Macaca mulatta: one gene and its partner. Each later gene encodes a partner of the first gene's protein in a complex. Links are inferred from orthologs where the notes say so. Each region holds a gene or a part of one and is shown in the gene's direction. Other genes may lie near its edges.

The links. The genes of interacting proteins can lie anywhere in the genome.
Region 2: TERT (region 1) and GAR1 share a complex: the UniProt entries of both Homo sapiens proteins name them as parts of the telomerase holoenzyme complex. The link is inferred for Macaca mulatta from reciprocal best matches to the Homo sapiens genes TERT and GAR1.

What each region holds. Positions count from the first base shown.
Region 1 is NC_133411.1:2,405,886-2,409,532, reverse strand, and holds part of TERT (telomerase reverse transcriptase), read left to right. Parts: intron 1-1,734; coding exon 1,735-1,930; intron 1,931-3,647. UniProt on the Homo sapiens protein: Telomerase is a ribonucleoprotein enzyme essential for the replication of chromosome termini in most eukaryotes. Active in progenitor and cancer cells. Inactive, or very low activity, in normal somatic cells.
Region 2 is NC_133410.1:119,117,540-119,121,286, forward strand, and holds the start of GAR1 (H/ACA ribonucleoprotein complex subunit 1), read left to right. Parts: upstream 1-1,106; 5' UTR 1,107-1,336; exon of another isoform or gene 1,337-1,381; intron 1,382-1,391; exon of another isoform or gene 1,392-1,584; intron 1,585-1,735; 5' UTR 1,736-1,747; coding exon 1,748-1,961; intron 1,962-3,529; coding exon 3,530-3,684; intron 3,685-3,747. UniProt on the Homo sapiens protein: Required for ribosome biogenesis and telomere maintenance. Part of the H/ACA small nucleolar ribonucleoprotein (H/ACA snoRNP) complex, which catalyzes pseudouridylation of rRNA.

The sequences.
Region 1 (3,647 bases):
GTGTGGATCCTGTCGTTGCCTCCTGGTCACTGGGCATTTGCTTTTATTTCCCTTTGCTTAGTGTTACCCCCTGATCTTTTCATTGTCATTGTTTGCTTTTGTTTTTTGAGACAGAGTCTCACTCTGTCACCCAGGCTGGAGTGCAATGGCGCAACCTCGGCTCACTGCAACCTCTGCCTCCTGGGTTCAAGCAGTTCTCATTCCTCAACCTCATGAGTAGCTGGGATTACAGGTGCCCGCCACCACACCTGGCTAATTTTTGTATTTTTAGTAGAGATGAGGTTTCACCATGTTGGCCAGGCTTGTCTCAAACTCCTGACTCAAGTGATCTGCCTGCCTCGGCCTCCCACAGTGCTGGGATTACAGGCGTGAGCCACCGCGCCCGGCCTACCCTGATCTTTTAAAATGAAGTCTGAAACATTGCTACCCTTGTCCTGAGCAGTAAGAGCCTTAAGTATATTTTAACTCTGGTCACCACCCCCAGCCTATGTGCTATTTTCCCTGCTGACTTAGTTCTATCTTGGGTATCTTGACACACCCACAAGGTAACCATTATTAATATTGTTTTCCGTGTTCGGTGTTTCTTTAGCTTTGTCCCTGCCCTGCTTTTCCTCCTCTGTTCCCTGTCTGTCTTTTGTCTCAGGCCTGCCTTCTGGGGTCCCCTTCCTTGTCCTTTGCCTGGTTCTTCTGTCTTGTTATTGCTGGTAAACCCCAGCTTTACCTGCACTGTGGCCTCCATGGCTTCTAGTGACGTCCGGGGACCTCTGCTTATGCACAGATGAAGATGTGGAGACTCACGAGAAGGGCGGTCATCTTGGCCCGTGAGTGTCTGGAGCACCACGTGGCCGGCGTTCCTTAGCCAGTGGGTGACAGCAGCGTCCGCTCGGCCTGGGTTCAGCCTGGAAAACCCCAGGCACGTTGGGATCTGGGCTCCGTGGTGACGAGTTTGAAATCACACAAACCTACGGTCTGGTGCCAGCCCCGATGTGCTGCCTGGCGGGGAAGTGTCTGCCTCCTCCCTTCTGCTTAGGGACCAGGACAAAGGATGAGGCTCCGAGCCATTGTCATCCAACAGGAGCATGACATGAGCCACGTGGATCATTTTTAAATGTCTAGGCTGGGCGCGGTGGCTCACGCCTGTAATCCCAGCACTTTGGAAGGCCCAGGCGGATGGATCACAAGGTCAGGAGATCGAGACCAACCTGGCCAACATGGTGAAACCCCATCTCTACTAAAAACACAAAAATTAGCCGGGCATGGTGGTGGGTGCCTGTAATCCCAGCCACCTGGGAGGCTGAGGTAGGAGAATCGCTTGAACCAGGGAGTTGGAAGTTGCAGTGAGCTGACATTGCGCCACTGCACTCCAGCCTGGCAACAGAGGGAGACTGTCTCAAAAAAAAAAAAAAAATAGAGAAAAAGAAAAAAAAATTCTAGCAGCCACATTAAAAAAGTAAAAAAGAAAAGGTGAAATTAACGTAATAATAATTTTACTGAAGCCCAGCACGTCCACAGCTCATCATTTAGGGTGTCATTGGTGGGAGCGTCACTCACAGGACATGTGACATTTTTTGTGCTTGATCTGCGGGATCCCGTGTGTGGGTCCCGTGTGCGGCCATCTCAGCCTGGACCTGCTGGGCTCCCCGTGGCCATGGCTGTCGTACCAGATGGTGCAGGTCTGCGATGAGGTCGCCAGCCCTGCGGTGAGCTGGATGTGCGGTGTCCTTCTCGTTTCAGGGGTGGGCTGTGTGCCGGCCGCGGAGCACCGCCTGCGGGAGGAGATCCTGGCCAAGTTCCTGCACTGGCTGATGAGTGTGTATGTGGTCGAGCTGCTCAGGTCTTTTTTTTATGTCACGGAGACCACGTTTCAGAAGAACAGGCTCTTTTTCTACCGGAAGAGTGTCTGGAGCAAGTTGCAAAGCATTGGAATCAGGTAGTGTACCCCCACGCTGGTCCCCTGCTTCTCGAAGTCCTGCAGCACCAGCCCCGGCCTCAGCGTGCGCCTGTCGTCCCGGCGCCGGTGCTTCCCTGGCTGTGCGGCTCTGGGCTGGGAGCCAGGGCCCCCATCACAGGCCTGGCCCGAGTGGATTCTGTGCTGGGCTCTGATTGCCCGGAGCTCACTTTCTGTTACTTGTGAAATCAGGAGTTTATGCCAAGTGGTCTCTGGGGTCTGTAAAGCAGAAGCGGTTTATATTGGATGGAAACACTACCACCAGCCTCCTTGCCCCTCCTCGGGATGTGGATCCGATTCTCTCTTTCTCTTTTTTTTTTTTTTTTTGTTTTTTGAGATGGAGACTTGCTCTGTTGCCCAGGCTAGAGTGCAGTGCCATAATCTTCACTCACTGCAACTTCCACCTCCCGGGTTTAAGCGATTCTCCAGCCTCAGCCTCCTAAGTAGCTGGGATTACAGGCACCTGCCACCACGCCTGGCTAATTTTTGTATTTTTAATAGAGATGGGCTTTTGCCATGTTGGCCAGGCTGGTCTCGAACTCCTGACCTCAGGTGATCCACCCACCTTGGCCTCCCAGAATGCTTGGTTTATAGGCTGAGCCACTGTGCCTGGCCCCCGATTGTCTTTTAATTCATGCTGGTCTGCATGAATCTTTAATCTGCTGGATTTAGGTCACGAGAGGATAAAATCCCACCCTCTTGGTGACTCACTGTGGGGAGCACCTGTGTGGGGAGCACCCGGGGTAGGAGATGTCCATCATGAGCTAACTTCTAGGTGGCTGCGTTTGAATGGCTGCGAGATTTTGTCTGCAGTGTTCAGCTGATAAGAGTGTGAGGGATTGTGGCAGATTCAAGCTGGATTTGCGTCAGTGAGGGACTGGAGTGCTGGGCTGGGAGACATCAGCCTGGCTGAGCCCAGGCCATGATATTAGCTTCTCTGTGTCCCACCCAGGCTGACTGGAGGGCTCGGTGAGGACTCTTTAGTCACAAGGTCAGGGCTTCCCCGGCTCCTCTGCACACTCGAGTCCCTGGGGGGCTTCTCACACCCCATGCCCCAAATCAGGATGTCTGCAGAGGAAGCTGGCAGCAGACCTCATCAGAGGTAACACGGCCTCTGGGCTGGGGACCCCGACGTGGGGCTGGGGCCGTTTCCTCCTGTATCTGGGGGAGAGTCAGGGCTTTCCTTGTGGGAACGAGTTAATACACAATGTGCCCTACTTAGACATTGCACATAGTGAATGGTGTGTGACCCAACGTGGTCATTTGACCAGTGTTTTGGGAAGAATTTAATTGGGGTGACAGGAAGGAGCAGACAGACGTGGTGGTCCCCAAGTCGCTCCTTGTCACGGCTGGAGCTGATGTTCTGCCTGAGGGGCCTCGGAGGCCCCTCCTCCCTGGACAGGGTACTGTGCCTCTCCTGTGCTCGGCTGGGCCTGCGGCCTGGGGTCAGGGCACCAGCCCCGGAGCACCCTCGGGCCCAGCGACCATAGAGCACTAGGCCGTCATCCGCAGATGCCCAGGTCCAGGTGTGGCCACTCCAGCCCCCCACTCCCCCATGGGTGGTTTTGGGAGAAAACACCAAAGGGCAGAGGTGTCAGGGAGCTGGTGGGCTCACGGGAGCTGGTTCTGCTCCTTGGCTGAGCTGCCCTGAGCAGCCTCCCCTGCCCTCTCCATTGGAAGGGATGCGGCTCTTTCTGCC
Region 2 (3,747 bases), on another chromosome or scaffold:
GTCTGGGCTGGAGTGCAGTGGCGTGATCTCGGCTCACTGCAACCTCCGCCTCCCCGGTTCAAGCGATTCTCTTGCCTCAGCCTCCCGAGTAGCTGCGATTACAGGTGTGCGCCACCATGCCCGGCTAATTTTTGTATTTTTAGTAGAGAAGGGGTTTCACCGTATTGGCCAGGCTGGTCTCGAACTCCTGACCTCAAGTGATCCATCCGCCTCGGCCTCCCAAAGTGCTGGGATTACAGGCGTGAGCCACCGCACCCCGCCTACAAAGGTATTTTAAAATCCCCCTTACAATAACCCTCTCAGTTAGATAGGTACCAAGTTCCACCCTCTTCTAAACACGATGTCAATATCAAGGTAAGGTCTCAGAGGGTTTGGTTGTAAAAGGCTCCAGCCAAATTTAATAAATGGGAAGTGACTACCTTTATTTGTGAGAGAAGCTTTGGAGAATGTGGAGGAAGCAGATGTCAAATATAAGGGGCTTAAGACGAGAAGGAGAGGAGCCTCCAGCACAGTCCGCTTCACATCCTGTCGGTGCTCAAAACATACTTGAATGAATACCCGGTACAAAAGATAAAAATGATGGTTTGGTTTTCTATAAGACACCATAGTTTCTTTAAAATTACACAAACACATGCATTGCTTTTTTCCCTCTAATTAGTGAGACCATAGCGCAAAAGAACAAGCACAGCTGAGCGCTCAGTGGTGCGAAAATCAAAAGGTCGGGAAGAAACAAGAAACTCAGACAAACGCTTCCGCCGGCTGTGACAGGTTCTGAGGCGACCAGATCCACTGGACATAGCGCGGCTCAGATACCTCAGAGACCTGTCCACACAGTTGCTGAAGTTAGCAACAAACTATTGAGCGCTGTTGGGCACCATTTAGTCTGAGAAGCAAATGCGCCCAGCCAGTCGGCACGGACTTCAAAAACTAACCTTGTTTCTTGCAAGGTGCTGGCAGTTGTTCTGGCAGTCAGGGCGGGAACCAAACAGAAACCCACCCCGCCTCTGGAAGAGAAGGCGGATCCCTAACGCCAGCTATCTCCAAGAGCAACATTGCCGCAGCACTTCCGGGACGTCGTGCTGCGAAGGACGCAGCTATTATACGTCACTTCCACGGCGCGGCGTTAGGCAAGTTGACCTCTCTGTTGTAAATTAGTGGTTAAGGTTAGATATTATTGCCACTTTTCCAAAGCTAAAGGCTGTTTTGGAACCAGTGTCGCTGGTTCCGCGCGTGACTACCTTTTTTTTGCAAACCAGTTATTCCAGTTTCTGGTCTAAAAAACTCTGTGGCTGTACGGTAGCCGAGGAGGTTCCAGCGCGGCGGAAGTACCCAGTAGGTGGGTGTGCGCGTAAGGCCAGGGCCAGAGGGGCACGTGGCGCCGGTGAGTGACCGTAGAAGCCGGAGGATTTGAAAATGGTGGACGCGGAACCCAGCTGCCGGAGGGAGGGAGGAAGGAAGGGGATGCAGTGCGAAGACCTTGCTGTCTGAAGGGGGAGGAGGTACTAATCCTGGGGCGGCAAGGCTGGTATGTTTGGTCGGTCGGCGCTCAGGAGACCATGAGGAAGTAAACTCTTCACCCATCAGGTTGGTGGTCACTGGCTGTCTGACCGTGGGTGAGGTGACAGGGCTGCTTTTGTCCCCTTTATGGTGTTCTCACCGCGGCTCCGAGGGGTTGGAGTGTACTCAGATGCTACAGTGATCAGAAGACACGGGTCGTTTTTTTTTTTTTCACCAGGGAGGAGAGAGAATGTCTTTTCGAGGCGGAGGTCGTGGAGGCTTTAATCGAGGTGGTGGAGGTGGCGGCTTCAACCGAGGCGGCAGCAGCAACCACTTCCGAGGTGGAAGCGGCGGTGGAGGCGGCGGCAATTTCAGAGGCGGCGGCAGGGGAGGATTTGGACGAGGGGGTGGCCGCGGAGGCTTTAACAAAGGCCAAGACCAAGGACCTCCAGAACGTGTAGTGTGTATGCAGTCTTCAATATTTAGCCTATTTGAAGGAATAGGGGTGGGTTGTGGGTTTGTGTTATTAGTCCAGCAAGTTTGGGATACACAAGCCTGTGTGGAGAATGATGTAAACTGACATAATCGTACAGTAGCATGTAAGGGTGGGGTGGGGAGATCAAGAAAGCTGAGGGATACTTAAAATGCATCATGGAAGTGGAACTTCAGGGTTGACAGGAAGATATTAAATAGGTAATAGTGAGTACTTATCCCTAATTCCCCGATTTTACAGATGAGAAAACTATGATTTAGAGTTAAGTTTTTATAGCTGAAATATAAGTATAGCTGAAATACAGGCTGGGTGCCGTGGCTCACGCTTGTAATCCCAACACTTGGGAAGCTGAGACAGGAGGATCACTTGAATCCGGGAGTTAGACACCAGCCTGGACAATAAAGCAAGGACCCTGTCTGTACAGAAAAAGAAATACAAAGCCAAGTATTCTGACTCCAAAGCCCATGCTTTCCATTACTACTTAAAAGTAGATAAGTGAGAAAACAATTTGCTTGAGAGGGAAACTGCCAAAGAGGAAGTCGAGAAAAAGACCCATTTAGGATAGTTTTATAGTAATTAATAATGAGATGGGAATGGAAGTCACAGAGAGTGAAACTTACTACATTAAAGAGGAGAGAGGGTGAAGAGTGTCTAAGAATGGTTGGATGAGTATGCAGGATGGTTTGAAAGGAGCAGTTTCTAGAATAAAAGGTCCCAGCCTGCAAGCTGTTGTACCAGTCCATACACGAGGCATTGAGAGCCTGATTCAGGATGGTGAGGAAAAAAAGGAAGGGTTAGATAGGAGAGAGATTTCAAAGGAAACAAAATCGGTAGAACTTAGCTAATGCTGATAATAAAGGGTTCCAGGTTTTGCGCTTGGGTGATAGGAATGAAGAGTTGGTTTTGCAGGAATGTGTTAATTATTTTAGTTTAGGGGGACAGTCTAGTTAGTTAGAACTAAAGGTAGTTATTTTGAGATTCCAAATGTCCTTGAAAACAATGAATCATTGTTAAAGAGGTGGTAGTGGGAATAGGAAAGTTCTGAGGCAAGAGAAAAAAAAAAGAACAAAGGGTAATTCTTTTAGGGGTTGAAGAAAAGGGAGTGAAGAAAAGGAATAACCAAGAGAATGAAGCAGAGTTTTGAATCAGATAATAAATTTTAATAAGATAACTGTTACATGTGGAATGGTCTCAATGTGCCAGGCACTGTTTTAAGCACTTGAAATTGGTTATTCCATTGAGTCCTTACATTACTGTATATTAGGTATAGCTGTACATTATATGTTACTAGTGTCTACTAAAGAGGAAACACTGAATTAGAGAAAGGGTGGGTAACTTCTCCTAGGTTACATAGCTAGTGTGTTGTGGAGTTGGTATACCAGCCCAGGAAGTCCACACTCTTAATGACTGTGGTCTTCTGCCTCAGAGGAGAGCAGGTATGGTGAAGTCCCAGGTAGCCAGGAAGAAAGCTTCCAGAAGAAGTTGGTCAGTATCGTTTGAAATAGTTCTGTGTTTTAATATTTTCTTGTCCTATTTCAGTATTAGGAGAGTTCCTGCATCCCTGTGAAGATGACATAGTTTGTAAATGTACCACAGATGAAAATAAGGTGCCTTATTTCAATGCTCCTGTTTACTTAGAAAACAAAGAACAAATTGGAAAAGTGGATGAAATATTTGGACAACTTAGAGATTTTGTATCCTTTTTCATTGGAAGACCTAATAATATTCAAAGGTTGCTATTTGTATTTTTGTGAGGA